Caenorhabditis elegans: one gene and its partner. The protein of the gene in region 1 interacts with the protein of each later gene in a pairwise test. Each region holds a gene or a part of one and is shown on either strand. Other genes may lie near its edges.

Region 1 (16,174 bases):
TTTGTTTTAAAAATTGAAATGTTCATTTTTTCATAGAAATAAATTGTTTTTTATGTCAATACTGATACTTAAAGTTTTTTGCTATTTTTTGTGAGCAACTATTCCAAAGACCATCTTCCGAGTTGTTCCACAACCGTTCAATCATCGATAATTTAAAGTTTTGATATTTGGCATTTTCGACGATTACCGAATTTTTAAATTTTCAGAGATTCGAAAATTTGGCTGTTCGAAAATGATTAAGATTATAAATTTGGACAAGCGAAAATCTTAAGAAGACTAGACCAAAATGGTAGACTAGACCAAAATGAGCCTCAAATATAATTTGAGTAACTAATTGTAAGCGAGTAGCATCTTGCGCTTTATGGGCTAACTCCACAAGCTTTCAAAAAAGGAATATACACTTAAGAAATCGTAGTTCCATTTCTCATAATGACCATCATTTTAGTTGAGTTTCATTTCGTTTCCGACGCTCAAAATGCGATTAGAAGAAAATGAGTGCATCCACTCTTTCGCATCCTTTTTTGCACAAAACACGCCTAGAGACACGAACTGAGATTCATTTGAAAATTTGGAATGAGAAGAGAATAACTAGTTCAAGAATTACAATTTTCACTAAAAATTGAGCTGAAAGGAATAAAAAGAAAGAATAAAACAAGGACAGCGGGAGGATAATTGGACAAGAATCGAATAGGTCATTTGCATAGATTAACGGGTTGATTTTAAGAAGAGAATAGGAAGCACATGAAGAGAGTGTGTAGAGCAATAGAAGAGCACTGATTTTTGATTCAGGAAACAGAATAAAGATATATAGGAAAATGAGGAAGGTGGCACAACGTGCTCAATTTTTCCGCTGAAATGAGCTAGGAAACTAAAGTACAGAATTACAATCCTTATTTTGAGTCTAGATATTACTGTACAGTTATCTAAATTATTAATTATTATTCAAAGCTTCTTATCCTCCTCTCTCAAACTGGAAAATTAACAACGCTCAGAAAAGTTTATTGAAAAAAAATCAAAATTTATTCCTGCCAAATTTCGGTTTTTTATCCTAAACCGAGCAATTTTCAAAGTATGAACAATATGAGAAAAAAAAAACGAATGAACTCTTATAACGAGGAACATGTTTATTTTTTTTATTTTCTTGATAAGATTGTCAGGATCATTTGTGCAGGATTCTCAAAATCTTAAAGGCATAACAAATTAAAAAATACAACTTTTGCTTTTAAAACTAGTTTCTAGGAATCTGAAACCGCTGAAACTTATCGAGTGATAATTCTGCGAAATGGATAATAACTACCGTTCCTTAACCAATAAAAAAAATGATGAACCTCATCTTTTAAAATTTTATTTACTAGGTTAGTTTCTTAATCCAAGTAATAGGGCCAATGTTAATTTAGAAAACGCTGTAATTATTTTAATAAAAAAATAAGACTAATTTGAATAAATATCAAATTAAACAGAAACATCAAATTCTTTAGAAACATAATTTTTGTGACAAGAGAAAAATTAATAACAAATATAAGAGAGAGTAGGTCGTTTTGGTTTCCAACAAAAAAGTAAACCTCGTAGTGCAAAATTTCAAGCAAAAATAATATTTTGAAGTATCTTCTCCTTCACAAATTTCCTTATTCTTCTCCGTTTTTTTTTCAACGGAAATATGCAATAAGAATGTCCGTTGAAGTGAAGGGACCTCTGACTCTCTATTTTCCAAATAAAAATGTACATGAATCCAAAAAGAATTGGCTTTCTTTCTCTTTCATTCTTTGCTTTTTCAATATATACACCTCCACTTACAAATTCAAAGAACTCTTTCTGATGAAATAACATCAAAAAAAGTAACGTGAAAATTTCCTCAATGCATTTGCAAATTATCTTAATAAAACCCTCATTTCAATAATTTTTGCAAGCATCGTCGTCGTTTCATGTGTACGATTAGAAAATCTTCTTCTCGGTAAGTTAATGTCAACTTTGAAAAAGGTTTCCAGCGTCTCAAGTTTTCAAAAATACACGAGCTATCCGTGTTGTGCAATTGAATGAACCTCGACCGCGACCATTGAAGATTTACGAGTCAGTGTGTACTCCTTGAGAATTTGCTAATTGTTTATAATTGTATAATTATAATTATAAAAGCCATTTTGGTAAATTCGAGTAAAAATTGATGCATTTTGTTTGCCGTGGTTGAAGTTTACACTCTTTGATAACTAGCTCGTTCATTTGAAAAATTAAAGACACTAGGAGCTCGAGTAATTGTAAAGTGAAAAGATATTTTGAGAGCTTCAAAGCAGCGCAATATTTTGGTTCTGTTTCTTCCCTTTCTATACTTTTAATCTTGTTTTCAAACAACTGAATCTTTATTCTCACTTGATTAGCCGGAAGTATATTCACGGAATTATTGAAATGGAGAGACGAAAAAAAAAGAAAGAAGATAGTTACATTAATATATTTGTTCCCTTCCATCAGGTAACTCTCGAATTTGAATTATACTGAAACTTCATTAAATTCAGTTGAAAATTTCGGGTGGAATTTTAAAAAATAATCTAAGTAAAGCCATTTAAAACCATGTGACTTGGAACGTAAACATACGGAGATAAAAAAGCTTGCAAGATAAATATATACTAAAACACTGAGAATGAAATATTGCGAGGTTTCCCTATAAAAGAACAAAAATATCATTATTTCTATTTTTCACATAAAATGCTTACAGAATGTCTAATTCATCAGCTCATTCCTCATTCGGTACATCAAATGACTCGTTTTCTTCAGTCCAAAGTGTGATTCTGCCACCAGTTGGACCATTTGGTCAGAAAAAGAGAACGTTTGAGTACATTGGTGGTGAGTTTAATTGAGAATGAAGGATCTAATGGGATTTAGTTTTTTTCAAGCGTCAAGAATAGAAAAAAAGTTCCAAATTTTTAGAGCAACTTATTTATTTTACAATTTCTGAATGTGTAGTTGTTGGTTTTTAATGCAAAAGAAACAAATGCCACGCCCTGCTTTGATGAAAAAAATGAGTAAGAACATAGAACACACTATGGAAAATTGTTTTTAATTTATTATTTTTTGTTAACTACCACAAGAGCCAGCTGGGTCGAGAGTTTGAAATCTTGAACGTACACATTTTTGGCTTTTAATTGTAACAAAAAGGTGTCAAATATAGAATCTCCAGAAGCCTCGAAATTTTCACTTGGCTTTTTGTATTTATGCTGAGGCACTAGGGATTATTTATGTAACTCTCCAACCTAGGTCCTTGGCTTCCCGCATCAGTCGTCGGATTAGAGTTTTTACTTTCAGATTCATAGACATTATGTTTCAGTATTTAGATTTTGTACTTCAGATTTAGGACCTTTCAGTATGATTAAATTTTTCATTTAAACGGAAATTTGTTACCGTGTTTGAGAATAATTCTTGCTAAAATCATACAGTATTTTGAATCTACTGTATTTTGAATTTTATCATTTTTCTATGAGTCCATGTTTTTTTTTCAAATTTGAGAAGTAGAAGATATACATTATTGTTTCAATTTTCAAATAAAATACACAATGAACCTAAATATTATAAAAATTTCAGTCACACTTGTTGTCGATAAGTTGAAATTGGCTGAATGGATGAACGGGATCGGGAAATTGTTTGGATCCGCAGAGCTCCGTGATAATGTTACCAATCTTCATATGCAATTGGTCCCGGTGATTGATACGTTAAAAAAGGTTCATATTCTAATATTGCCCTTAAAGAAATCGTTGGAGTATTTAAAAGAGGAACAATGATAATTACTATTTCTATGAAAACATTAGAAGATTGCAGAGCGGATTGTTTTCAAAATTGAAATCAAAGACCAAATTGGGTTACTGTAGGCGCGTAGAGTAGTAGCAATAGTGCTGTTTTCCAGGTTTTTATAACCGCCGCAACATGATATTGTCATGGGAAACTATATTTTTCTTTATACTTTAATTTTCAGGTTTCCCATCTATCAAGTGAAAAAACGAAAAAAGAGATCATGACACTGATTGAAGAATACAAAACACTTGTCGTTGTTTGTGAGAATATGCTGGACAGAATGGAAAAATCGGCTGACTTCCACAGTACGGATATGCTTAATGATCCTGTTCTTGAGAAACAAGAGTAAATTTCTGTCCCTTTATCGATTGAATGAATGCAGTTGCGCTTTTTTGAATTTATGATTAAATTCTGAAATAATTGGGAAGTACACTTCCCAAATAAAAAAGAAAATATCACATTTGATAAAAGTTCGAAATTAGATTCATAAATAGGGAAGACACTTGTGTATATAATGAGGGTCGATGAAAGATGAATTGACTGAAAATGCATTTTGGGGAAACTTAAGGCAAAGAGGTGATGAGGACTGATGAGCGGATCAGGAAGGAAAAAGAAACGAAGTGGTAGGTTCATAAATACACACAATTCGGGGGGAAAACTTATAACATAGTCATATAATGTTTCAATGAAGCCGTTTAGAGAAAAGGCAAGAAAACGCCAAAAAACTATCCGATGTTACACAAGAAAACCATTTGAGTTGGCTGGGAAGTGGTGAAGAGAAAATCAAATAAATTTATACATTTTAGATACCTCGAATGAAACTTAAAGGCAATAAGGGGAGGGTAGGAAGATTTATCAGGAATTATAGGAAACGACGAGAATGACGGCTTCAGCTATCAATCACTGAAAAAAACGAATTCTCGGCGAGGAATCTGAAATAAATAAAACCTGTAATATTTCCAAATAGTTCATCTTTAACAAGTAAGAAACAGGGTTGTCGTTTTTTTGGCAAAAATTGATTATTTGGTTCTTTTTGGTTTTTTCGGACTGAAAAACAAAACAAATTGTTTTTAAAAAAATTATTTTTAGTCAGAGGTGTGCCATTTATCAATTTTCGATGTTTTTCAGTGAAAATCAAAAAAAAATCAAAAGATTGAAAGTGGAACTACGAAAATTTTTGATTTTTCATTCTCTGGAAAATCGAAAAAAAATATTCAGAAAATTAACCATAAAATATTTGTTTTTTAATCTAACTTTGTTTATAATGATGAGCAAAAACACAACAACTTTGTTCTAAAAAGAAGAATAATGACCAAATTTTCAAAAAAACCCTCGGTTGGCATGATGAAACAATCGAACTTTTTTTGGAGAATTTTGATTTTTTTTGTGTTTTGTCCAAGTTTGAAACAACATTTTTTTTTGTTTTTTTGGTCGAAAATATTTTTTGCAACAGCCCTGGTAAAAAAAGCACAAACTTACATCTCTAACATTCAGAACATGTTGGTTTTGCAAGACCATTGCTTGTTGTGCCAGGCGTACTGTTCGTTTTTCCAATATTTGAGGCCGAAGAGGCTGGAATCACAGTTGCGGCTCCGGTAGGAGCTGTCTGTTGAGTTCCGTTTATTGTTGCTTTGATAGTATTCCAGATGCGGAAAATTGGCGGTGAGTTGCTACGAGATTTCTTTTCACTTGAAAACGTAGACGGTGTTTGAACAATAAGATCGTCATAGTCAAGAGTATCACAGGATGAAGCAGAAGAAGAAGATGATGGGGACATGCAGATACGATCAGAATTTGATGAAGAAGCTGACATTATTATGGCTCCATTTGCGGTTCGATTATCAAGAATTGTAGTGCGGGAGTCTGAAGGATTGATTGCACATTTCTCTCGAACATTATTGCTTCGACTCACCATTCAGCGATCGAACCACTAGTTTCTCAGTTGCTTCTTCTGCTGAATCTACTGATCCTCTCTTCTTCTCATCGACAGAGGCCTGCAACACGATTGGCGTAAGCCATTCTTGTGGGATGCACTTTTCAAGGAATGGAATGCTTCCACTCAAGTTTGCCAATCGATTGATCCAACCCGGAATATCCTTGCCAGTAAGCTCACGAGCGAGTACTGCACTGAAGTGATTGCAATTACGGGAAATTAGATGATAACGATCTCCGCGAAAATCCTCGCCAAGGGACTTTATAAGCTTCCGAATGTCACTGGTAGATCTCTCAGTTTCTCCAACAACAATCGATTCTTTGAATTTAAACGTTTCGCCAAGTTCTTCCGCATCTTGTGGTGAGTTTTCGAAGACTCCTGAGAACTGATAAGGATGTCCACCATATGCGTATTCTGAAAAAAATTATTTATTTTAGCTGTTTTTTAGGTATAAAGTTAAAAAAAAACTTCACTTACCGACACCGAAAACTTCGATTCCAGAGTGAAAAATGCCAACGCCAATGTTCGATGCGTAATCATTCAGCCAATACATATCATAGACATTAAGTCTAACCACAGTTTTTCTTCTGGCTGTTCCCATCACATCCATTGTGCTAGTGGGCGAGTACAAGCAGCCAAATGTCGAGTAGAACAAGTCAGTACTGAAAATGAATGGTTTAGTAGAAGATTTGAGACGAAAGTAGAGATCAAAAACAGAAATAGCGAAAGGGGATACGATCTTGTTTAAGCCATTGGGACGTCATTGAGAGGATTATCTAAAAATTGACTATGGGGAACAAGAAGAGAAGATGTAAATAATTCGTAAGTCTAGAGAAAAACATTCGTTAAATGTAATGGACTTTTTGAGAAATTGCAATCATAGAGCAAAAATTGTGATCTTATGAATGTTTTGGATAATAAACAACTAAGAACGTCACTGATAAAACTATTTTAAAGCTCAGAATACTGGTTTTTCAAAAAAATATGAATGAAATAAGGACGAGCGGAAAGAGAAAGGGGGGACGAAGAGTGCTCTATGGACAAGCAAAAATAAAAGAAAAAATATTATTTTTTGCTACTATGAATAATTTGTTGTCGGCACCCCATCCATCTATCTTACTACACAATTTCTCTTCGCAATAATTTTAATTTCGAAATATTCTCTATTTGAACACTTTTCTTTGTAAAATAACAATAAAGTGAACAATAAAAAGTAACTTCAACAAAAAAAATGAATCTTCGGTTCAACACGACCAACAAATTTTCTATCGACTAGAGGGGAAGAACAACAATTATTATACAATGATGGGTCGTTTCGGAAGTAAAAATGACAAGAGAGGTACTCATATAGTCGTCACACATTCATTGAAAATGTTTGACAAACCACAATAGACTCGAAAAAGAGTCTGTTCAAGTTGTGGAAAAAATTCCGGAGAATGGAATTCTGGCGGATGGCGAAAACAAAACAGAAAAAATTCAAATTGAGGTCATGAATTTTGGGAAACCAGGTGGGCAGAGACATTCGATTCTCATGGCTTTTTCGCTGCCTTTGTCTCAATTTCAAATAGATGACAGTCCGTCAGTCTAAAGATCGACGACACTTTACACTGGTAACACCTGATTTCTCATTTAAGAATTAACTTTTTTAAAAACCAAAGAAGTATTTCATGATATTTCACAGTAATGTTCGATAAAAAGACACAAAAATGTTGCCAAATTCTCTGAAAATGGAAAGAAGAAATTCCGTGTTTCAACTAACAAGTGATTCTACGCATGTTTCTATGCCGAAAAAGCTTTTCCAGGTCGTGATCTAACCTCCTTGACACCCAAAGGGCAATTGGCTCCGCCCTTTCCTTTAATTCCATTGCTTTCTACAAATGTCATGTTGAATGCACACAAAACTTTCTCTACTTCTCGGCACACCCTCATGAACACTACTACTCATCTTTCTCTTTTCTTTCGCAAAGTTTGCATTCTTTCGATTCCGTGTGATCCTCTCCTCAAAAATTCCAGTCTCACGTCGCTTTGCGCCGGGTGGCAAACACGTCCGCGCGGTAGAAAGATTTCCGAGCTTGCCCTCGCTGGTATCTCTGTTTCTCTAAATTCTCTCAAGGTCGAAGAGTGTCTAACTCTCACGGAAAAGGCGCAAATATTGACTAACGCTTCACGTTTTCTCCATGTACAGGGCGAATCGGAAAGAAAAGAGGATGGCAGCCGCTAACTGAGGCTGCTTCTGCAAGAGGACGAATTGCACAATGCGGATGGGAGCCAGGGTTACGAAAAGAGCACGAAACTGGAAAGCAATCACATTGTGCGTGGGGCAAAAAGCTGGGGAAACAACGATCTACTGTACTTGTGTATTATACCCCCGCCATTTTAAAAATTAAACAAATTTCCATTAATTTAAATTAAACGTGATACCCATTTTCCTCGTTAGGCTTAGGAATGGTGTTTTCCTAAGCCTAAAAGTCCACACGTTATATTTTATAAATTAAAAATTCGTTTTTAAAATGACGGGGGTATAATACACAAGTACCCGATCTACTAAATAATTTGAAAAAAAATCAGGTGAGAGAGATGATTTTTGAGAGATTGAAAAAAAAGAACTGTTTAGAATGAAATCAGACGTTAAATTTTTCGAATAATTTCGTAATATTATTTCTCATATAGTTTTCCCATTGCGCTATCACATGAGTCATAAAAACTAAAACTGAAATGTTAGTCATTGAATGTAAAAAGAAGGGAAACGTTCAATTTGGAAGTTTGAGAGTATACAAAAAAGACGAAAAGTGAGTGCCAGAAGAGGAAAGGCAAAGGCGGATTATATCTGAGACGACATCTGCCAACAGGGTGAGATAGCTAATTTTGTTTATGCCATCCTGTAGGCAGATGAGAGAAGAATTGAAGAAGACGATCAACTGTACCAGAGGATTACTGCTTACTGCCGACATCGAAAGGACTGGTTCGTTAACTATGAGAGCTTTTCAAGGACAGCAAGAAAGATGAAAGACGACAGGTGTAGGGAAGAAAGATGACTCTGAATGAGAATAAGAAAATGCTGCAGAGAATAAAATGACGACTACTTGTACTAGTTGAGAGAAGAACAATCATATGCATGAATCAGTATGGGAAGAAAGATGGCTGCAGCCAAGAACCAACACACTCGTCAGTCACTCGAGAAGAGAGCACTCTACACTAGAATTTGTATATTTTCGGCAATGAAAACTGAGCCAGAGGACCATCACTCATTTTCAAAGCTTTTCTACACGCTACGTTAACTTTTTGCCTAACTTTTTCGGGGTGGAAGCAAGAAAGTTGTACGAGCATGGATGGGAAATCTTTTTTTCACTTATCTCTTCATGTTCTTCAAATCTCAGGGGTATACGTATAAATTTAGAAAGGGTTAGAAGAAATTGTTGGAAACGATTTATGAAACTCAATTCACATCATCTGAAGAAAAAGATAATTCAATAAATCATTAGAAAAAGATATGATAGTTAATTTTTTGGAACGGCATTCATTACAGCCGTTTTATACAAATAAAAACAAAAAATATTTGTTAAATGGGTGCAAAAAGGGAAACAACTGTATAGTGGTGAGAAAATGTGGATGATAATGATCTATTGGTAAACAAACAAGTAAATAGAGTATCGATAGAATAACCCAATGAAATCGACGATTCGAATTTTAAAATCCAAAGTCTAAACACTTGAACGACAGACAGGAAGAAAGGTTCAGGAATGCTCTCACCGCCTGTTTGAACTCAACCTTGCTGCTGCCTCACCGCGCTTTTTGCCCGTACCTCGCCTGTTCCACCGGAAACGCGTGAAGAGAGAAAGCAATGATTGGAGAAGCGCAGAGAAGCAGACGAGCACTCGTCGCTACACGCGCGTCTCCTATAACTGTACACTCTCAGATTTGAATCGATTGTTGTTAAACTATACACAGGCGTAAACGGTCGATTACTTTGTAGGAAGTTTTAATTTCAATACGCCTGATTTTTATGGAGATAGAATACGAGTATAGTGTAATAGTTACGAAAAGAATTGCGAATGGAGAGGACCACAGCCTTCCTCAATTCAGCTCAAATTACTCCAGGAAAATGAGAAGAACGGAGCAGGGAAAAGAGGAATAGAGAAGAGAGATGAAAAAGAAAGTGGAACGAACATGCCGCCGATTTACTCGCAAAATGACAACGAGACAGAAAGTTGCCGAACGTTAGAAGAAATTTTGATATTGTAAACATTTAAGTGTTCTGTTGAAGTGAGAATATTTTGAAAAGACAAATATCGAGTCAAAATGGACAGGACATCATATGATTCAGCACGAGTGGATTGAACTTGAGGAGGTCGAAAAAATTCAACAAAAAAGAGAAATAGAAATAAATGAAGACTTCTCTTTGCCACTCGTCTTTTTTTCTGATTCAATTAAACGACCCTTTCTCAATACGCCTCCATTGTTTCCTTTCTGGGAAGCAAAATGCCTATACTTAGTTCTGGAAGAAATCGCATTTCGCAATAAAAATGGTCCACTTCACACTATTTTTCTCATTTTTTAATTTCTCGGCGGGAATTGGATAATCCGAATAATTCAACGATGGAGACATTTTTTTCTAGTATTATGATTGAATTCAATTAAATTATAAAAAGAACATAATCAAAAGTTAGAAATATTGAATTGATTCTTAAATAGATAAGAGAAGATAAAAGAAAGTGCTTAATTTAGCACTTTATTTTATCTTCTCTTAGCGCTAAAGATTCGAATATTTCCACTCTTAAAGGCAAATGCAGGATAAGAAAGAAACGCATGATTACTGGACACTTATTTGAACATGGAAAGTACAAAATGAGAAAAAAAAAATAAAAGCTTACAGCATAAGTGAGCGACGGCAAAAAATTGAAGACGGAAATGAACAATTTCCTGAATTTTCTGTTTCGGAGCGAGAAATGTTCACGACAATTTGCACATTGTACGTAAACACCACATTTGACGCGCAAAATGTATTTGGAGAATTGGTGTCTTGTTAATATAGTGTCTTTGATTGATTGTGATGAAATCTTTGACAGAAGAAGAAAAAATAACAAATTATAACAAAAAATTTAAGATTTTGAAATTCGCCATCTAAATATAGCTGGCGTTTCTAAAATTTAAATGACAAATGGATGCGAGAAAGGAAAAAAAGAAAAACGAGTCGCGGTCAGTGGAGAATATTTACTCATATGATTATACTCATAGAAGCGAAGAACAACTGAAGAAGAAGAATAACCATTTGGAAGCTCATTGTCATTATACAGATTTATGGAAAGCGGTAAGACTTTTCTTGTACTGATTATATAGATTTATGGGAACAGAAGGAGATAACAGGAACTAGGCCTATGGAGTGGGTCGCCCCATTTTTTTTGGGTCGGCCGGGTCGGGGTCGGGGTCGCATCCCTGACCCACTATTGGGTCGGGGACGCGACCCCAACCCACTATTTGGGTCGGGGTCATGTCCCATTTTTTTCCAAATTTAACAGAAAATTATCAAAATCTTGAAAAATTATTTTTTTGTCAAAAAACACGTGTAAAAGCTGAAAATTATAAAATTATCGTATTTTCATCAATTAAAAAAACATACCCTATTTTCGATACAAACAAGCATAAGAGACAACGTTAAAACACGCTTTACAACAAAACAAACATGTTTTTTTTTAAATTTCAGACATTTTCCGAAAATGGGTCACGGGTCGACCCATCTCGACCCATTCAACAGGCCTAACAGGAACCCAGAGAAATGGTGAGTTTTTCTTTTTAAGAAACACGATGTTTGGAGGATTTTAGAAAGGAAAATTTACAAATAGTTGAATTAAATTAAAACAATTATGTAAAAGGCTTGTTTTTTTTGACAAATCAAAACCGCGGAAATTTTAACAATTACTCAAATAAAATTGGGAAAATCATTTATTTTTACATTTCCCTCTTTCTGCACAGCTTTCTCGGCTTCCTTTAGAGCATCTTGAGCCTCTGGAGCTTCAGGAAACTACACAGGTTCTCCCAGACTTTGACCACCTTGCTGTTCGATTCCTGCCAACCTCATCCAGCTCGTTCGAAAGTTTTTCAGCAGTTGCTTTGGAGACTGGAACCAGTGGATTCAGCTGAGTAGTCTCGCCCTGGCCGCCGAGGTTTGCTTCCTGAAATTGGAAAACGAATTTTTAATTTTATTAGTAAAACTTCAGTACTGTGATAAGCTCAGCTCTAGCCAATTTCTCGGCTTCTCCGTCCTTTTCAGCCATCCTGAGCAACAGTAACTGCATCCCAATTTCCATCCTTTCCAGCCTCACATTGTCAGTAGCCATAGACGAATTGACAGGAGGCGAAGAGTCTGAAATTGAACTTTTAAGACCACGGGATATGATTTTTTCTGCGGAACAAATACAAGAGGCAAACTTACAGATAAAAACAGTTTGCCGGGTCGTTGAGTCCTGATGTGGGCGAAGTGGAGGTGATGAGAAGGGGTGAAGGAGGCGGGAAAAAGGCGATGAGTCTGAAATTAAAAGTTTGATTAGAGCTATACGAGTAAATCATTTTAAATATTTTTTAAATAATTTTAACATTTTAAATATTAAAAAAAAATTAAATTGACTTTTTTTTAAATATGAAAACGTGGGAAATTTTATATTGGATACAAAATTACACGTTGACATTACACATTGATGAACGTTCAAAAACACGTGTAACTAATTCCACGTTTTTTTAAAATGAAACGTCAAATTATCGACCGAAAAAAATTATTTCCTATTTTTTTTCCAAAAAAATCATTGCGAAAATCGAGCGATTCAAAATCTGTTATCCAGCGACAACAAGATGTCAATGAAATGATGCCTCTGCTCATTACATGGATCCGTGATGGTATGGGGCTGGTCGGTGGGCACCATTATCTTGATGGAACTGATCATTTGATCCAATGCTTCAAGAAAATATTCGCATCAACTTCCACCACCGGATTTGAACTACCAAAGATCATCCGTGTGAATACCATTTCGAAAGATCCGGAATCTGCAATGCAATCTATCGGTTCCATATGGGCAACGAGTGATAATCTGCCGAAATGTCTTCTCGTGCATGTAGATCGAATGGATGACGTCACCCTGAGAAAGACCCACGCTCGATTTACGTTCCCTAGAGTCCTCGTAATGGGTAACCACTTCACACCCCTTCAGGAGGGCCCCAAATTCCGGATGAGTGCTTGCATCGTACACAAAGGAGAAAATGATCAAGGCCATTACTTCACTTATAGAAGCAGTAAGTGAACATTCCTGGATTTTTTAAAGATTCTTAAATTACAGATTCACCTACTGGAGACGTTTGGGAGTGCCTGAACGATGAGATGGTGTCGAATGTCGACTGGGAGCACGTTCTACGCCATTCGTTTGGGACTGGACTCCCGGAGGATTCGTCTGCTGCGATGATAGTGTACACGCAAGTTCGTACAGGAACCGGGATAGAAACCGTCGAAATGGTTTCGGATATCCACAAGGCCGGTGACACTGTAAGTATAATCATCATTGTAAGATCACTTCTATGAAGAAAAAAAACCTAAAACACACAGTAGCAAACGCATAATAATTAGCTTTTTCGCATGTAACTGCTCAAAGCTTCTGGCACCTATTGGGATGTTGTTGGTAAATTCTGAAAAAACTTGGAATTTGCAACAAAGTTTCTGAAAGAATTTTCGAAAAAAGTTGATTTGAAGTGATTTGGGAATTTTCAAAGTTTCATAAATTTACCTATTTTGCCTATAAATGGTCGTTTTCATTTAATAATAAAATACGCACAAAGGTACTGTAGGTTTTCTGTAACTGCTCAAAGCTTCTGGCACCTATTGGGATGTTGTTGGTAAATTCTGAAAAAGCTTGGAATTTGCAACAAAGTTTCTGAAAGAAATTTCAAAAAAAGTTGGTTTGAAGTGAATTTCGAATTTTCAAAGTTTCATAAATTTACCTATTTTGCCTATAAATGGTCGTTTTCATTTAATAATAAAATACGCACAAAGGTACTGTAGGTTTTCTGTAACTGCTCAAAGCTTCTGGCACCTATTGGGATGTTGTTGGTAAATTCTGAAAAAGCTTGGAATTTGCAACAAAGTTTCTGAAAGAAATTTCAAAAAAAGTTGGTTTGAAGTGAATTTCGAATTTTCAAAGTTTCATAAATTTACCTATTTTGCCTATAAATGGTCGTTTTCATTTAATAATAAAATACGCACAAAGGTCCTGTAGGTTTTCTGTAACTGCTCAAAGCTTCTGGCACCTATTGGGATGTTGTTGGTAAATTCTGAAAAAGCTTGGAATTTGCAACAAAGTTTCTGAAAGAAATTTCAAAAAAAGTTGGTTTGAAGTGATTTGGGAATTTTCAAAGTTTCATAAATTTACCTATTTTGCCTATAAATGGTCGTTTTCATTTAATAATAAAATACGCACAAAGGTCCTGTAGGTTTTCTGTAACTGCTCAAAGCTTCTGGCACCTATTGGGATGTTGTTGGTAAATTCTGAAAAAGCTTGGAATTTGCAACAAAGTTTCTGAAAGAATTTTCGAAAAAAGTTGATTTGAAGTGATTTGGGAATTTTCAAAGTTTCATACATTTACCTATTTTGCCTATAAATGGTCGTTTTCATTTAATAATAAAATACGCACAAAGGTACTGTAGGTTTTCTGTAACTGCTCAAAGCTTCTGGCACCTATTGGGATGTTGTTGGTAAATTCTGAAAAAGCTTGGAATTTGCAACAAAGTTTCTGAAAGAAATTTCAAAAAAAGTTGGTTTGAAGTGAATTTCGAATTTTCAAAGTTTCATAAATTTACCTATTTTGCCTATAAATGGTCGTTTTCATTTAATAATAAAATACGAACAAAGGTACTGTAGGTTTTCTGTAACTGCTCAAAGCTTCTGGCACCTATTGGGATGTTGTTGGTAAATTCTGAAAAAGCTTGGAATTTGCAACAAAGTTTCTGAAAAAAATTTCAAAAAAAGTTGATTTGAAGTGATTTGGGAATTTTCAAAGTTTCATAAATTTACCTATTTTGCCTATAAATGGTCGTTTTCATTTAATAATAAAATACGCACAAAGGTACTGTAGGTTTTCTGTAACTGCTCAAAGCTTCTGGCACCTATTGGGATGTTGTTGGTAAATTCTGAAAAAGCTTGGAATTTGCAACAAAGTTTCTGAAAGAAATTTCAAAAAAAGTTGGTTTGAAGTGAATTTCGAATTTTCAAAGTTTCATAAATTTACCTATTTTGCCTATAAATGGTCGTTTTCATTTAATAATAAAATACGCACAAAGGTACTGTAGGTTTTCTGTAACTGCTCAAAGCTTCTGGCACCTATTGGGATGTTGTTGGTAAATTCTGAAAAAGCTTGGAATTTGCAACAAAGTTTCTGAAAGAAATTTCAAAAAAAGTTGGTTTGAAGTGAATTTCGAATTTTCAAAGTTTCATAAATTTACCTATTTTGCCTATAAATGGTCGTTTTCATTTAATAATAAAATACGCACAAAGGTCCTGTAGGTTTTCTGTAACTGCTCAAAGCTTCTGGCACCTATTGGGATGTTGTTGGTAAATTCTGAAAAAACTTGGAATTTGCAACAAAGTTTCTGAAAGAATTTTCGAAAAAAGTTGATTTGAAGTGATTTGGGAATTTTCAAAGTTTCATAAATTTACCTATTTTGCCTATAAATGGTCGTTTTCATTTAATAATAAAATACGCACAAAGGTACTGTAGGTTTTCTGTAACTGCTCAAAGCTTCTGGCACCTATTGGGATGTTGTTGGTAAATTCTGAAAAAGCTTGGAATTTGCAACAAAGTTTCTGAAAGAAATTTCAAAAAAAGTTGCTTTGAAGTGATTTGGGAATTTTCAAATTTTCATAAATTTACCTATTTTGCCTATAAATGGTCGTTTTCATTTAATAATAAAATACGAACAAAGGTACTGTAGGTTTTCTGTAACTGCTCAAAGCTTCTGGCACCTATTGGGATGTTGTTGGTAAATTCTGAAAAAGCTTGGAATTTGCAACAAAGTTTCTGAAAAAAATTTCAAAAAAAGTTGATTTGAAGTGATTTGGGAATTTTCAAAGTTTCATAAATTTACCTATTTTGCCTATAAATGGTCGTTTTCATTTAATAATAAAATACGAACAAAGGTACTGTAGGTTTTCGGTAACTGCTCAAAGCTTCTGGCACCTATTGAGATGTTGTTGGTAAATTCTGAAAAAGCTTGGAATTTGCAACAAAGTTTCTGAAAGAATTTTCGAAAAAAGTTGCTTTGAAGTGATTTGGGAATTTTCAAATTTTCATAAATTTACCTATTTTGCCTATAAATGGTCGTTTTCATTTAATAATAAAATACGAACAAAGGTACTGTAGGTTTTCGGTAACTGCTCAAAGCTTCTGGCACCTATTGAGATGTTGTTGGTAAATTCTGAAAAAGCTTGGAAT
Region 2 (16,488 bases), on another chromosome or scaffold:
TCGATATATTTTTGATCTTCTTTTTCCATGTTGCGGCTATTGTGCTGTTTCAGAAGCCAACTCAAAACTGGAAAGTATTCCGTGAACCTCTTTTGGCGCATGTCTGGAAAACAACAATTCAAAGATTCTGAGAACATTGTATGGCTATCACTTTGCTTCCTGCAAGTCATTTCAATCATATAGGTAATGTTGAAGTTGGGATCTGATCCTGGGATGATATCAATGCTGGTACACGATCTTTTGATGTTTTCGGTGAATTCCATTCTGCAGAATATGTGAGTTACAAATTGTTTCATGAGTTTAGAATTAGGATGCTTGGCCGCAACGTTACTATTTTTTTGTAGAAAAAACAGGCAAACTTGGATTTTTAATGCAGCGCCAGTAGGAAAATTAATTAAAATCATTTCTATGTTGCCAAAATGACCCCATGTCTGAGTTGAAACTTTCAAAAAACCTTTATAAATTTTTTATGATGTTCAAAAGTATAAATTACTACTCGGCAAAATCCCGCAACTTTTACGCCAACTTGAGCAATTTTAGCAATGACAATTGCAAAAGTTGCTAGAGTTGGGTAAAGTAGGTTAAAATTGTGGATGGTCACAAACATTTTTACTTCCTAACATTGGCTAAACTAAAAAAGTTGCTAAAGTTAAGTGTGATTTTGTTAAAGATGGTTTTAAAAAAAGTTGCGAGACACTAAAGTTGGTTCATAAATTGCTCAAGTTGGGTAATAAGATGCGGCAAACTGCCAAATAATTTTTTTAATTAAAGATTTACAAAAAGTGCCAAAAACTGAGTAACTACCAATTTTTGAAACAATTTTTTAAAATTTTTGTAAAAATTTTCAAAAAATGTATAAAAGTTCTACTATGATACTTGGGATCCTAGTACAAACTTCAATGAAAGTTCTTTTAAAAAACTCACGTTGCCGGTGTCAGACGATCTCGAAGAATAAGTAAGTCAGCAACGACTAATGATGCCAAAAAAGCCAGAAAAACAACAAGCTTCATCTTTGCCATCGGCTTGTTCCTGTAAAGCAAATGCAAAATGCGATTGTATTTTTGTAACAGTTGATGCACTCTAAATATATTTTTGTGTGGTCAAAAACGTATTGTGTAAAAAATTGATGCGAATGTTCTCAAACAGTGCTCCTTTGCTAAATGCCAACGGTTGGGGGCACGAAAGAAATGAAATTTGTTTACTGGAAATGTTATGTTTCTAAAGGTCATTTGGGCTGCGGTAGTTGATTTTTGAAAGGAAAATTTTTTAGAATAAAGAATAGAAAACAAATGGTTTTGAGATATGAAAAGGGTAAAGTTAAATCTAAAAATCGGCAGATAAAGAAAAAATCCGAAAATACGTGCTGCCTTGATTCCAAGTAACGGCCTTCAATATTTGAATATCCAAAAGTTGTTATAAAAAGATTGCTGATAAAGATAACAATAGCGCTCCAACGAAAACCCCGCGCGAAAATTTGAAACTGATTACCTCCTGATATTTGAATGGGCCCCTGCTCTCTCCTTCCATTTATCTGTTTACTTTCCCTCCTTTTCACCTTTTTTGTCACTTTCTCAAAAACACAGTGTTTTCGAAAATTGTTAAAACTTGTGTACTGTAGATCAGTAGAAATTGATGGGATGCACGAAAAATATTTGGAAACGAATTGATTAAAACGTAATAATTTTTTTCCATCCTCTGTAGTTGCTCTATACATGACGTTGTGCCGAATTTTTTTTTCAGCACAACGCCGTTTGCCAAACCTAGCAATAGTGTTCAGTTCACTCGACCTTGTAAAAAAGTCAATTTACGTGTTGTTCAAAATTTTCCAAATCACAAAAGACTGAAACGTAGAAGCTTAAAAAATTTCCCAGCATTACTTTCTGTTCTTCAATGTGTCTACTTTCAAAAATATGGGTTTATATCTATTAGGATGTAATTTGAATCTCAATTTGAAAATCAACAAAAGTATGAAAATTTCATTTATTCATTGTAGAACAAATTACAAAGTAGGATTGCGGTCTAACACCTGCAGTGAAGAAAAAACAAAGCACAAATGAGTAAAAACCACTGGAATGAAAAAGCAAAGAAAAAGTCACAGCCGGTAAAGCAGTTATACAATAATATTAAGAATATCTTGACTTCATTGCAGTCAAATGAATCGTGTTTATCATGTTGGTTTAGTCAGTTTCTTGTCCCGATTTTAAAGCAAAATATAAGTTGACATGTACTATTGAGGCATCGTATTTAGTTGATTTTGAGATCCACCAGGTCTCCTGAAATGGAATTATGTGTTTAGGACAAGTATCTAATGTAATATGTAATATGTCTTATATGTTACAGTATTAAAATAACCTTACCATTTTGCATTTTTTTTGACGCAAATTGGTTGTTGTTATCTAGTGGAAGGCAGAGGTTAACTCCCATGGACGTGCCATTTGTTGCAGTACGGGTAGGGCTGCTATTCTCATTTCCGTTTTTTACATCTTCCGTTGGTGACTGAAATTTCAAAAATACTACTGGCTAGAACACTATAATATTATCTCTATACCAATTTCTTAGCCGCTGAGAAGCACATTGTTTCTGGTACTGTGGAAGAACGGGTTGGGACAGTCTGCAACATTGGATGTTAATAGAATTTGTACATTTTGAAATGAATTACCTCAATTCTCAGAGAGTTAGACTCTTCCATAATCCCTGTCAGTTTATCGTTGTACGGGCTTATGATGCTCGTCACTGAAAATAAGATACCGTTTCACTATAAGTTGATTTCTTTGACACTACTGTAACACATATTAAATTAAACTTTTCCTAAAGCTTTGGAACATTCTCTCACGCAGACAAGGTTGAGACAAAGTTGACTCTAACAAGAATTGGACAATTGTTTCAAAAATTTGAATTTCAAGTATGTATGAAGACGGAACCTGGCAATATTTTTACTCCATGTTTTTAAAAATCTTACCATGCTGAAACATTCGAAAAAACGGAAAATAGGTTGCAATAACTGAACGTGCAAAAACATGCAAAAGGAAAGAACTAAAATAAAACAGCAGCTTATCTCTTGGGCACGGTACAAACAAAACCTACACTTTCCAATGCAAAGAGGTTTCAGATTAAGAGATGTAGGTCGCGCTGAAAAGTATGTTAGTGGTTGAAATGGAGGGGGAAGTGAAGTGAGAACAAGAAGCGGAGAGAATTGTGTGATTAGTTCTTAAATGATTGCGGAATAGTTTTTGGAATAATGCTTAGTTTCACATTTTCTCACTCTAGAAAGCAAGTTGTTGAAAAGAAACAGAATTTCGAGAAGCTCTGCATGCTTTTTAAAAACAATCCGCAGTGCAGAAAGTGCATTTTTCATCGAGATCGTTTGATTCCCAACTGCAATCAAAGGTGCAATTCATATCACTTTTTGGGGATAGATAGCGAAGAAAAATTAGAAGTGAGAAGCATTAGTTGTATGTATTTTTTTTCATGAAAACACATTTCTGGGTTAAATGATCTGTAAAGGTGAGTAGAAAGAACCAAGTTGAAGCGACGCGTTTCCGGGCGATTCAAAAACCAGCGGCGAGTCAATAATTCAAAAAAAAAAAGAAATCAATAAAAAAAAGAACATACCCATTGAATTGGAGGAGGATATACTCATTGGCGTGTCGGATCGTTTTTCTACTCCATTAATCTGAAAAAAAAAATGAAATTTTTTCAAGATGCTCTTAAATCAACTATAGCAATATTTAAAACTTCCAACTTACCTGTCCAGCATTAGAAATTGCATTTGGCAAACTGACTGCTCTGTTCATCCTCAAAGAATGCATTGGTAGTCCGAAATTTTGAATACGTTGCAGCCTTTCCTTCTTAGTAAGCATATTGGTAATAGCTACTTCTTGGCGAAGTCTATCCAGTTTCAACATTGACTCGACCTGAAATATTATATTTTTCGAAGAACCGTTGACTGGACATACCGCCTGAATACTTTTTGTGTAGGCTTCAATGTAATTAAGGGTCTGCTGCTGGTGTTGTGATTCCGTGGATGAAGTGGAGCTTCGAGATGAGCCACCGCCCTGCTCGTCGTGAGATGTATCCTTCGCAGCCATCATTGCCAGTGAAGACCGGTCTTCCATATCTTGCGAAGACTGGAAAAATATGTTTCAGAAAATTGTTTGGTTACATTTTTTACCTTCGGAATATGAGCAACTACATCATAGTATAAAGAAGTTCTATGAATAGTCTCGGTGCCCAGCATCTTCTTGAAAAACTTTTCTGTTAGGCTTGGTTTTTTGTAAATTTGTAAGCATATTCTCTTTCTCAGCACAATGTGCATTGGACATGGGTGTGATAGTCTCACCATAATCTGAAAATATTTTATTTTATTTTTGAATATTATTTTAGGTACTAATACCTTGACAATTGCGTACACACGATCATTGCTGTTAGTAGGAACATTGAGTGCCGGACAATCATGAACTGATGAATCCCAGGAACATGTTGCCACATGATCTTTGTCATCATACTTCTGAATTGGAACCATCAGCAAGTTGCCCTCTGGCTCAAGTGGAAGCATGGAGTGTAAGCCAGCAACACGCGGCACATTCTCATCACTTGTCATTTCACCGGTCATATCGTCGGAGTTTAAGTCTAAGAATAATACTGGGATATGTCGTTCCACTCCTTCAGGGGCAATCCTGCAAATTATCAAGATATATTCAGTTTAAGCTCAATCGCGTCACATACCAATCACATGGTGCTCCTGGTATACACGAATTTGGTGTTGGACATTCGACGGCTGTTCTTTCCTCAGTCAATGCTACCCATTGTCCCATTAGAGAATGCTCACGGTCCAGCTCAGCCTCGGATTTTCCTGATTTGGCAGAAAGAGAGTCAAGTTGATGTTGAAGATAATACTGTCGTGACTTTAATGCATGTGACCATTGTTTTCTAATCTTATCCAAGTCTTCTTCCTGGTAGCTGTCGATCGATTTCAAGTTGTTCGTTGATTTTACAGCCATAATCGCCCCAATGCTAACAGAAGTAATACAATCAATGCTGATAGGCAACCCATCAGGCGCAGCAACATTCACACCCACAACCAATCTTCTCTGCTGACCTTGCTTTAATTGGTATATACCGCCAGTCGATACGTCATCTGCATGTCGGACTTCCACACTCGTCCAATCTCCATTATCATTCAATTCTCGCACCTCTGACCACGTTTCTAAACGCCTGGTAACTTCCATCCATCGGTTTTGCAAAGACTTGGATTTTTCATCAGTGTCCAAAATTCGCTCTTCAGGATGTCCGCATATTCTGTGTCCCCATACTTCAATAGACAACGCATCATCTCTAACATACTCCATAAATTCTTCCGTGACCATCACATTGAAATCCTGCAATTTGCTTTAATGATCAATGGTTATTAGGTTATGCAAACTCACTCTTTGATGTTCGAAAATCACAGTAGTTGGACAAGATGAATGATTAGCAGCTTCGTTTGCTGGGGCAACCACAAGTAGTTCAGAAATGTTGAAAAATGAATATTGACAAAACACAAAGTTTGATAGTTTTTCCGGAAGACCAGATGCGCGCTTGATTCGTACCCGACAAGTGATCGTTTTGCCAAGAAGTGTCTCTGGTCCATTATTGGAAGTTTCATCCATCTCTTCCTGAGTTACCACGCGAAAAATTTGCACATGAAGACGCCCAGCAACTTCCCCTTGCTGCGAAATAATTGGGACCTGAAATAGAGAACATTAAAAAATCAACATCTTCCCGCGATTTGATTTACTTGATAATCGAGACGGAGATCATGGAACAACACTTCTAAAAACACATTTGCAACACCAACTAAATTATGGTGCTCTTGGCTTTCGAAGAATGGGTCAATGACTAGAGATGAGCACTCATTCATTGGAATTCCGGCTATCTTCATTGGTGATGCATGAGGTGTGCCGTTCAAAGACTCGCTGGTTCTTGAAAAAATGTAAATTGAATTCGTAACGATCAATGAATAAACTCGAACCTTGTGAATCCATTTAGCATATCATTATAAGTATCTCTCATGTCAACAAGACGGCTCTCAAGCTGAGAAACAGTCCAGAATTGACTTCCACTCATTCCTTCTCTACGAACGACTATCACTGGCTCACAAACAAATTGCCCAGCTTTGATTTTAATCGGTCTCAAGTTTGAAGCTGGAATTTGCAGTGTCACATCATATGTGGTTTGACGCTTTGGTTTTTTATTGAGCTCCTTGGAAATCATATTTGCTTCCCGTACAAGAGCATTTGCATGAATAACATCTGCTTTCAGCCTTTTCAATGACTCCGCGAACATTTCTTCTCTGGAATTATTCATATTTTTGAAAATTCAAAATTTTGACATTTATTTAAAAACTCACTTTCTCTGTGCCCAATAGAAGAATTTGCTTTTCACAGATTGTTTTGGGTTTGCTGGGAAAGGGAATGGGGGTAGTCCGGTAGGTGTAGTGATTGGAGTAGGCAGACAAAAACCAGGAGTCATTGGCGTAGATGGGGTAAACCCGCCGGCAGTCAATGACTGAATGTATTTCTCAAATGCTTCGTATTGTTGCTCAAGAGCTGCCTTTTTGTCTTCCTGAAAAAAAACCGATAAAAATTTAATTACGTAGGAATTAGATTTTTGCAACGAAAAAAGAAATCTCGCAAACCTGGTGCTTGAGTGTAACACTCTCCATGTATTGGTCAACGGCGGAACTGATGGGGTTCGCATCGTTAACCTCATGCCAAGCGTCATTGTAGTCGAACATGGTGCTGTCCTCCATAATGGATTGTTCCATGTCCATCACTTTCGGGCAGTTAACTTTGAAGAAGTGATTCATGCCCACAAGCAGCCGATTCCCATTTCTAAGAAGCGTCCTTTCAGTTATCTGCTTTCCATTAACACAGATTCTGCATTCCGAAGACATTGGGGCTACAAACAGGCGTAGACGCCCGCCATACTCTTCAACAGTCATTTTTGCGTGCCGTCTCATGATTCCTAGACCTCGGAGGACAATACTAGTTCGTTCTGAAAAGAGAAAAAAAATGGTAGATCAAAAAATTTGAAAAAAAATACAATACCTTTGTCATCATCTCTTCTCGAAGAATCACTGCATGTCATTGATAGTCCAGAGTCTCTACTTGTCTCTAGCTCCTCCGAGTTTCCAATAATTGCTGATCCCTAGAAAATATAATTTTATTGAAACAAAAAACGCAATGTTCAACTCACATTAATATAATAGACTAGCAACTCATTCAATGATGGATCGGCATTCATATTCACCAGATAAAACCTATCCTTCTCAACTTTAATTCCACTGGACTCTATAGAAATTCCGATTTCCGTCAGATCCTTCTGTCGTTCTTTATTCAACGTGTCAGTTTCTTTAAGACGTTCCTCCCAAGACTTGTTCATTTGAGCTACAAGACGTTCACTCTCTGCAAGCCTTTCACGAAGCTCTTCAGTTTCAGCGTGCTCTTTTTTAGTTTGTGTAATCTGCATTCGTAAAGTCTCCACTTCTTCGCGAAGTTCCCGAATAACTCTTGCATTCGGATCCTCGTTGATAATTGCGTGGTTGACAATCTTCTTCGCACGATCTGCATATCTCAGTGTGGAGAGGGTTTCTTCATAGTTATCGGCAGCTGGAGAAAGGGTCGCAATCATAACTGTCCTTGAATTTCCTCCAAGTGAGTCCTTGAGCAGCCAGGTTAAAACAGAGTCTCGATATGGGATGAACTTGTCTTTTTTGGAATTTCTTTCCGCTAAAGCAGAAATTACCATACCAAGTGTAGTTAGTGATCTGAAATCAAGCTTTTGATTAATAAATACATATACCTGTTAAATGTTAAGTTGAAAGTTGGTAGTGACTTCAAGTTTTTTCTTCAATTTGAAAAATCAATATGAAATTGAGATTATCAATAACATACTTTTTAACAAAAAACATCAGCTGAAAATTTAAAATCGATTTTTTTTTCAAGATCATTTCGGAGAAAAATAGAAACTAAATTCCTCCAATTTTTTACTTATTTTTTAAGCCACTTCGCAAGAAAATGTATATAAAATTCCATAGTTTCACCTACTTGTTAATGTTTCCACCTTCCTCGAGCCGTTTTCCAACTGCTCCCGTTTTCCCAGCTCTCTCACTTCCAGCCAAGTCAACCAACGAAATTTTGGCAACTTTCTCGCCACTAAACCCATTTTCCAAATCATGCAAAGTTTGTGTTACAATCAAACTAAAAACTGCATGTGATCTTGAGCTTTCGGCATTCATGTTAGTTGCAGCGACAGTTCTTGACTTGTTTCCCTCTTCTAGCAGGTTTGAAATTTGCTGGAAAAAATAAACAAGTGGATGAAAAAAAACTCTTTCAAGCATCGGCAAACCTCAAAAGAGTTGACTGCAAGAATCGACAATCCATCAACCATGGGTCCAAGTATTTTATGCTCACGCACTTTCAATGCTTTGCTTGATCTTCAAAGACGTTTGTTTTATGTTTTTGCTTTTGAGAGAAACGAATGGCTTACTTTTTTGGGTCAAGCAAGTCTCGAACTCTTTCGTTGTAAATTTCCATGTAAGACACCTCAACTTTGAACGACAGGGAAGAATTGCTAGTTTCTTGAATTCTCGTGAATATCTGAAAAAAAAACAGGTATGCTTTCAATTTCACTAGGAGTGCATTTTTGGAAAAAAAAACGAACAAAAAAACTCACATCATTACAAACACGAGGAATGATTCCCGGCTGATCAGGGGTTCCCATCATTGTGTAAGACTTTCCGGATCCAGTCTGTCCATAAGCGAAAATGCATGCATTGTACCCCGAAAATGCGTTCTCCACTACACCGGATCCAAGGTGATAGGACACTGTTTCTTGACTTGCGAAGTCATAACTATGCGGGTCAGTGGAGCAAAATGAGTGATCGAATGTGAAGGTTTTCGAGTTTTTCCTACAATAAAATAGATATCAGGTAATTTTTCTTTGCTTTCTCATTAATCTACTTACTCTTCAATTGGATGATGAAGCACACATTGTTCCTTTTGAATTCGAACCACAGACTTTGTTTTCAAGTCGAGTTCTGAAATATTTTGAAATTTTGATATCACAATGACCATTTTTAATAATAAATTATATTACCTCTTTTGTTAAACGGGCGTACACGAATAGCAACTTTGACAGCGCTTTCTTCATCTGGAGCTGTCATTTTCCAACCAAGTCTGAAGATTTCTTAGAACATCTGAAAAACACGCTCAATTGATAAAAAGCAGGTAATCGATAAAGTTATTGTCAATAACGAAGACGGAGTGAGGGAGAATAATCAAAAAATTTATGAGGCAATCAGTTTTGGAAAACTTTTCACTCGCAATGATACAAGGAAAGGTGAAAGGCGAACATAATCGGATGGGTAGGTAAACGAAAAGTAAACGAAAAACGTCAGTGAATTGAGAAAGTACTGGAAGCGGAGATTTTAATTGGAAGTTTCTCAAATTTTATAAACTTAAAAAAACCGAATTTAAGTAAGAAATCAAACTTGATTTTCAAAAGTTATTTTTTTCCCTGCTGGCAAAGTGAGACAGAGTGCAATTTCATTGGGTGCTTTGCTTTTGTGTGGTGTGAGAGCACATCAATGCCAAAAGAGCTTCTGTTGGAAAGGGATTAGTAGTTTCTGGGGGCCCCCAAAAACGGGGGGCACGAGGCGAATCTCTTGTACATGACATATGTATGTAGCGGACACTTTTCAAAAGACACTTTGTTCCCAACTATCTAATTCTTGTACAATAAACAAAAACGGGAAGTGAGAGGGGGAAAAAGTAGAAAGACGAAACTGAGAGTGAAGCTTAGAAGTTTGGCTCTTCACGTCAGTTTCAGGAGATGAGGTAACCGATGGATTTTCCTAATAAAACCATGAGATACATCTCGCGCAGCAGCCGAAAAATTGGAAATTTACAACCCAAATTGGATAGGTGACCTTGCGCAAACACTGATCAAAAACTTTTTATGAGTCCCAAAAGCTTGTTGGAATTGCAGGAACATGACGTAATGGACAATGAGCCGGTGAAAAATGATATTCGGAACGTGCTCCATCTGTCTGACTCTAACCTTTGTCGTCCTGGTGGTAGCCGTCTATCTCTGGCGCCGTTCTCTATCCCCATATCCTTCTCCCCCACACATTCCTAGTCAAAAAAGGGCACGATACGAAACCATTCAGAATGATACATTGGCGTGTGCACCCCGCGCCAGTGAACCCGGCCGAGCATTAACATTCTCATTTGCAATTGATGAACATCTACTATGCTGATGCGCGCGTCTCCCGTTTTTCCGCGCTTCTTTCTGAACTCGGCTCAACTCATTCCACCATAAAAAGAAACGAAAGAACAAGAGCAAAAGATGAGCTGGAACCGGAAGCTGCAATGTGAACCCTTCGTTTTTTTTTGGCTGTAAAAAATTCGTTTTATTTCGTCATCAAAATCTAGATGCTTGATTTTTAAACTTCACTCACTAAAAAATTTCAAAAATTGCTCAGCCGGAGAATGGGAAGCAACACTTGAGAAAACGGGAAAACAATCCTATCAAAAAAGTGCACTACTTAAACAAATTGAGCTGATCTTTTTTGAGCTCGGGTTTTGAGGACAAACGATTTGACAGCTCAAAAAAATTGACGCAAAAGAAAAAGAGCGAGAGAGAGGTATCTAGATTCGGAAATCCTTTAATCAACACGATGTGCGTTTTTGTTAATCAAGAATTTTGTAGCCGTGCGTCATCTTATTGGAATTCGCGAGATGTCACAAATCATCTGATCCACAAAGAGAAGGATCCCTTGGTAAATAGACGTGTGAAAGAACTGCCAAATCGGGATGTATAATGTTTACACGATTGTGTTTATTAGAAAAGTAATTCTTTGAAACATGCAATAAGAAATGTTAATCTAAACGTTCCAAAAATAGCTACCGGGTTTCATTAAAACTTTAATATTAATTAAAAACAGTGTAGGGAAAATGGGGATTTTGTCAAAATCTATTCAACATTTTGAAATGGTAAAAAGTCTAAATACAGAATTGCCATATTTCCTCTATTAGTCTTGCAAAACTAATTTTCAATTGGTTCGTAGGAGTGCAAGTCTAAAAAAAGCAGCAAGACTATTTTTTGAATGCTATTTTTTAAATTTTAGACTTTGAACTTTGGGCCAAACATTTTTTATAGAAATCATAGCTGGATATTGTTTAAACAATGAAAATACACACTTTTACACTTTTTCATAAATTGTTTGAACGCTATGAAGTATAATTTACTCTAAAAATGACAACTTTGCTAAAGTTACCGCAAAGTGTTGCTGTTAGTGCAAGACTATTAGAAGTTGGAAGACTAATTTTCGATTAGCTTGTAGGGGTGTAAGATTAGTAAAGGTTGCTAAACTAATGAAGGAAATACTGTAAAGTTTAAAGATTTTCCAAATGTTCAGTTCAACACAAATTTAGATTTTTCAAAAAATATCAGCTTAAGTTTTGGTAAATTACTAAGTTTTCCAAAACAAGTAAACTTTTTGACTAATTTCGGGCACTGCTGCAAGTTTGAACCCTTATAACCTTTATATACAAGCAATGAAAAGCCGTCAGTTGACGTATAAAAAATATCGTCAAATTCCAAAATATGAGGCGAAAATAGAAATTTATATCTTTTTGACTTTAAGTTTCACTGGGATATTTGGTCATTTTAGTTTTCTGAAATAATTCAAATATTTTATTTATTGGAGCTTAAATTGAAACGGTATTCTTTGTCTAAAATAAATAATATTTAACACAAGTAGGAAACATTTTAAAACATATGCATTTCCCGAAATAATTAGCATAGTGGGACGAAACAGAACGCCGTATGGCCAGATGATGTCACATTAAGGAGCAAAAAGGGAGCGCCGTCAGCTGGATAGGACATTGTTAGATGCGAATCATCCTATCGGTACTTTTACGTCTTATTCAAAAGTATTCAAAGGGACTAGACATATACACGACACACACACACGCAAAAAAAGCGCCGCCTTTTCTGCTCACCAAATGAAATAAAGAAGAGAAAGAGGAAAGAAGAAAAAGGAAGAAGAGAGGCTCCCTTCAGCTCGGGTCCCTCTTTGGCTGGATCATTGCCTACGGATATGTTTCAATAGTGGATTAGCGGGGCGGCATGGTCCGCGGATGCTCTACGAACCCAAATGTGTTGTAGACTTGGGTGGGGGGCCACCAAGTGTGGAAAAAGATGAAAGAAGAAGGAGAAGAGGACGATAACAATTAGCTGGTATGCCGCTGTTTGTGCATTTTTTTTTCTGTCATTCCTTTTTTCTTAAGGTTTGCTCGCCAATTCTGGAAGAATACCAGCTGATACTGGCTCGAGAGAAAAAAAACGAAAAAAAGAAAGAAAAGAAGAAAGAAAAAACATGATTGGAATATGAAAAAATCCTTTTTTCAATTTGCATTTATTACATGGGGCCGTCTGAAAGAAGATTTACTGGTTTTTGAAGGGTCGCCCTTTTTCAACATCACTCTTTGCAAGAAAAAATGAAAAAGGCAACAAGGTGTAGAACAAAGAAAACACAACTGATAATGTACGTATTACTGGCCAAAAATCTAATCAAAAAATTTATCGATAAGAGAACGGGGGTGGGAGCAAAGGTAAACTTTTGAGTCGGAGCATTATATAGAGAAACAGAAAAACGTTGATTTTTGAATTTATTGGCTAGGAATAATTTATAGGAAATTTATAATTTATGAGAATCAAAGTATCTTGCCTTGTCTAGGATTACTATTTTTACTCGTTATATGTTTTATTCTTAGTGGAAAAAAAGGTTAAAATAACTGTTTAAAAAATATATAATTTTTGTATTTACTTAGAAAAACTGAGTACACACTCAAAAACAAAAATTTATTTGATGCATGATTTTAGACATTAAAATATTTAAAAACTGATAAATTAGATATACATACCTCTAAAAATTAAGTTAAATTAACTAAATACATTTTTTTAACAATAGGGGCAATTTTCCATCGAAAAATAAATTAACTACCCTGTAAAACAATTGGTCGAAAAAAAAAGTTTACTCTGAATTTATAATCGTTATGTTTGATAGTAGTAATGCGGGCCGCGAAAAATGAACAAAAGTTGTTGAGGAAAACACCTCGGTTTTTGTGTAATAAACTTTTCAATGAAGAAATAACCAATATCAAGGGAAAAAAGATATTAATCTGTAACGTTTGCGTGACGTATTGCGATTGGAATCTATTTAGTTTTTAGTTGAAATAAAGTGACTTGGACTGATGGCAATTTTTTTGAATGTGAATTATTGTACTAATATAGCCCAAAACCCATGTAAAACAATAAAATATTATGACCTATAAAACAATTTAATTCGAGTGAAGTGGTTTAACATCAAACTTAATTGGAAAGCATTCAAACTTTGCGGCAGGAACCCTCCTCACCTCGCCGCGCTATCACGATAATTATCTTGATGAATTGGAAACAAGTGATTTTACACTGAAGCTTTCGAGCTCAAAACAAAAGAGCTCGCCGGATGAACCAGAAGGCAGAAATACAATTTTTCTAGCCTCTACTGAATCTCAAAATACAAGTGGGGGGAACAGAACAGACAATAGAGCCGACTGATAAGAATAGATAAATATTGAGCAAGTAACTGTCAAATAAAGGGGTGAGATAACCAGGAGATGATCAGTGAACAGAAAACAGAAAGCACAGAAAACACAGAAAACCACAGGCTACAACGCGTTGATCCGGATTTCATTTTCACACGTATTACATTATATCTTAGTTCATCGTGGAATTTTACGTTAAAAAAGAGAAGCAAAACAAGTTTTGTTCCAGCTAGCCTCTTCTTTTTTTGGAACTGGCAATCAAATTGTATTCTCGCCACACGAAAACTGGCTAATGGCACCCGTGGGTTGATAAAGTGTAAAAGAATGGGGCAGGAAGTGCCCCGCGGAGCATGCCTTTCTCCTCCTCATTCCCCCCTCTCTCCGCTGCTGTTCGGTGGCGAAAAAAGTGATCCGCAAACACATATCATAACAAGATATTGAAACCTTTTGCTTCTCGTTTCGTTTAAAGCAAAGACACAAAAAAAAAACGTCGAATGATCGGGTTCATAAGTGCCTTGAGGCACTTATGAAACTTTTAGTGAGATGGCATATATTCAATATTCCGGTTATACATCATCTTTTCACTTCTTTTATTGACAGATAAGTCAGGAAAACACGAGAAAAAAGTTTTCTGCAGTTATATAAATGTTCATAAAAAAACGTTTTCAATGTTAGAAAATGTCAAAAAATGTGTATATTCAAAAATTCATAAACTTTGGGTACTTACATAATTACATTATTGCTCAATGTTAAAGGTAGAGTCTGGTTAGTTGTAGAATTGTTTAAAATTGCTCCTAATGAGCCGAAATGTTTAAAAATTATAGTAAAACTTTCAAACTGAAAATTCTTACCCCACCCATTTCCCACACTCGAGATGAACTCTTACTGGGTTTGTCTCGTTTTATAAATTTATTTTCTCATTAAACCTTAAATTGTACTACCTTTTAATGTATTACCTTTTGGCTCTTAATGTTGAACATAAATCAAATCAAATCAAAATGCTTTTTATACAGTCGAAAGGTAGTCATAGTTGTGGAAGTCGGCCAAAATAATTGTTTCACGAGTTCTTCAAATATTTGGTATTTTTCTCTAATGTACCTACCCCAAAAATATTTTTCAACAAATTTTTCATTCATTTCTTATAAGATTGATAGTTTAATTAAACCTGAATTTTTTAAAAGCATTCTTGGGCTTAGAAAAACATTAAGCTTAAGCCTGATATGGACAAAAATGGTTACGTGTAGTTTTCAAAATCGGTAATATTTTTGACGCAGGTATACTACAAAAATTATTACTTTTAAGTTCATAAGCTGGGAAGACCAACTGAAAATTTGGAAAAATTTCATAAATTTTGAACGAAAATCTACCTTGTAATTCCCAGACTACTTGAAGACATGAAATTCGAACTAATAAAAACTAATCAACTTCAACTCTTGGGATTACTTTCAAGATTTTTAATCTGAAATTTGAAATTTGGTAGAGTTTTTGCAAATATGCGAATGTAGCTAGGTACGAAAAAAAAACTTTAAATAAAAATAAGTACACGCGACGTTTTGTGGAAGTGCAGAAAATTCACAGCCGTATGCTTTAAATGTATTTGGGAATCAAAAATGCTTACCGGAAATTTCAATTTATTACCTCGGCGGTGATGATTCATGAAAGGAAATAAAATAGGAGCGGAATAGAGCACAAACTTATTTTGTGAAGCGGTGTTGAAGAAGAGCGCGTCTAGGACAAAGTTGAGATCGGGTAGGAATTTAATTAAAATGCGAGACAGGACCGAATGCTCCACGCTCGACTTGCCAGTTTAATGGAGTTGCACTTTGACTGTATATTACCGCGAGCTTTTGTTTTTTTTTTTCAGATAACAAAAATAGAGACAAAAAACAGACAGAATCTGAATGAGGAAGAGTGAGCAGGCACTGGTGACTGTGAGAATGAAAAATAATGAAAACAGACATAGTCTGGAATGGCATTAATTCCATTTTCAGGGAGACTGAATCTTTTGCCGCGAAAATGAGAGAAAAAGGATAGGATGAAGGGTCTCGTGCTTTCAGAAGAGCTTTTCCGTATCTCGACACAAGAGAGGGCACATACACATACCACTGGTATCACATTTGATTGCTTTTTCGAGAATCCATCCGCATTTCTTTTCAAAATTGAATTTTTTTTGTTCTCCCACCCTTCTCCCCCTGATTCTCTACCTAAATGAGAAAAACCAAAAATCCCAAAACACGAGTCACAGTGTGTACTGTGTATTATGCTCTTTCATCCGGTCTTCAATTAATTCATCATATTTCTAAGTACGAACTCGTCTTGGTAAAATAAAACTTGGAAAAAATTGATGAAATAGCAGAATAGCCCCTCCGAGTGCAATTCTCACAAGACCTCTAGATCCAATTGACCTCTGATAGAACTCTCATCTTCGTCATCTGGAATATCAAATTTCAGCGGTCGTGTTTTTCAGAACTTCTTTCGAAAAAAAGCTACGTAGAGGAATAAAGTTACTTGGATTGAAATTGGTAAAGGGAAGGGTCAATGTGGTCAATTGAAAAAAGTAAAAAAAATAAAATTTGTATAAGAAATATTGATATAATTGAATAATTACAGGAAAAAGAAATAAAAATATTAATAGCATAAAAATAGTACAAGATAAAATAAATCATATAATTATGCATCATAATTTTCGATGACCCGAATGTTTAAAGTTTTTAGTAATTGTTTTCAGATAAATCTCACAAGCTCCAAAAAAAGACAAAAATGAAATCTAATAGTTTTTGATATTGAAAAACAAAAATGAAAATAAATTTGCTTCTCTAAAAGTTTTCTCAAATTCTCCAACACATTCGTTTTA

The links.
Region 2: the proteins of F36D4.5 (region 1) and klp-4 interact in a two-hybrid assay, tested with the Caenorhabditis elegans proteins (one large-scale study listed by BioGRID).

What each region holds. Positions count from the first base shown.
Region 1 is NC_003283.11:9,415,134-9,431,307, forward strand, and holds F36D4.5 (Desumoylating isopeptidase 1 homolog), read right to left. Parts: upstream 10,685-16,174; 5' UTR 10,584-10,684; coding exon 10,579-10,583; intron 9,638-10,578; exon of another isoform or gene 9,479-9,637; intron 7,991-9,478; exon of another isoform or gene 7,785-7,990; intron 6,370-7,784; coding exon 6,185-6,369; intron 6,122-6,184; coding exon 5,687-6,121; intron 5,638-5,686; coding exon 5,258-5,637; 3' UTR 5,254-5,257; intron 4,707-5,253; 3' UTR 4,124-4,706; downstream 1-4,123. Other genes in the region: F36D4.1 (BLOC-1-related complex subunit 7), read left to right, coding at 1,923-1,951, 2,705-2,832, 3,568-3,704, 3,956-4,123; F36D4.6 (Resolvase/invertase-type recombinase catalytic domain-containing protein), read right to left, coding at 11,719-11,877, 11,926-12,042. UniProt on the Caenorhabditis elegans protein: Protease which deconjugates SUMO from some substrate proteins. Has isopeptidase but not SUMO-processing activity. Collaborates with ubql-1 in the export of ubiquitinated proteins from the nucleus to the cytoplasm.
Region 2 is NC_003284.9:3,169,458-3,185,945, forward strand, and holds klp-4 (Kinesin motor domain-containing protein), read right to left. Parts: upstream 9,245-16,488; 5' UTR 9,206-9,244; coding exon 9,139-9,205; intron 9,080-9,138; coding exon 9,007-9,079; intron 8,951-9,006; coding exon 8,716-8,950; intron 8,640-8,715; coding exon 8,530-8,639; intron 8,477-8,529; coding exon 8,389-8,476; intron 8,336-8,388; coding exon 8,088-8,335; intron 7,808-8,087; coding exon 7,237-7,807; intron 7,189-7,236; coding exon 7,089-7,188; intron 7,036-7,088; coding exon 6,677-7,035; intron 6,604-6,676; coding exon 6,389-6,603; intron 6,332-6,388; coding exon 6,011-6,331; intron 5,961-6,010; coding exon 5,777-5,960; intron 5,727-5,776; coding exon 5,427-5,726; intron 5,379-5,426; coding exon 4,726-5,378; intron 4,677-4,725; coding exon 4,394-4,676; intron 4,346-4,393; coding exon 4,172-4,345; intron 4,128-4,171; coding exon 3,957-4,127; intron 3,915-3,956; coding exon 3,747-3,914; intron 3,674-3,746; coding exon 3,613-3,673; intron 3,130-3,612; and 11 more. Other genes in the region: C15C7.6 (Glycoprotein), read right to left, coding at 1-103, 152-264, 925-1,019.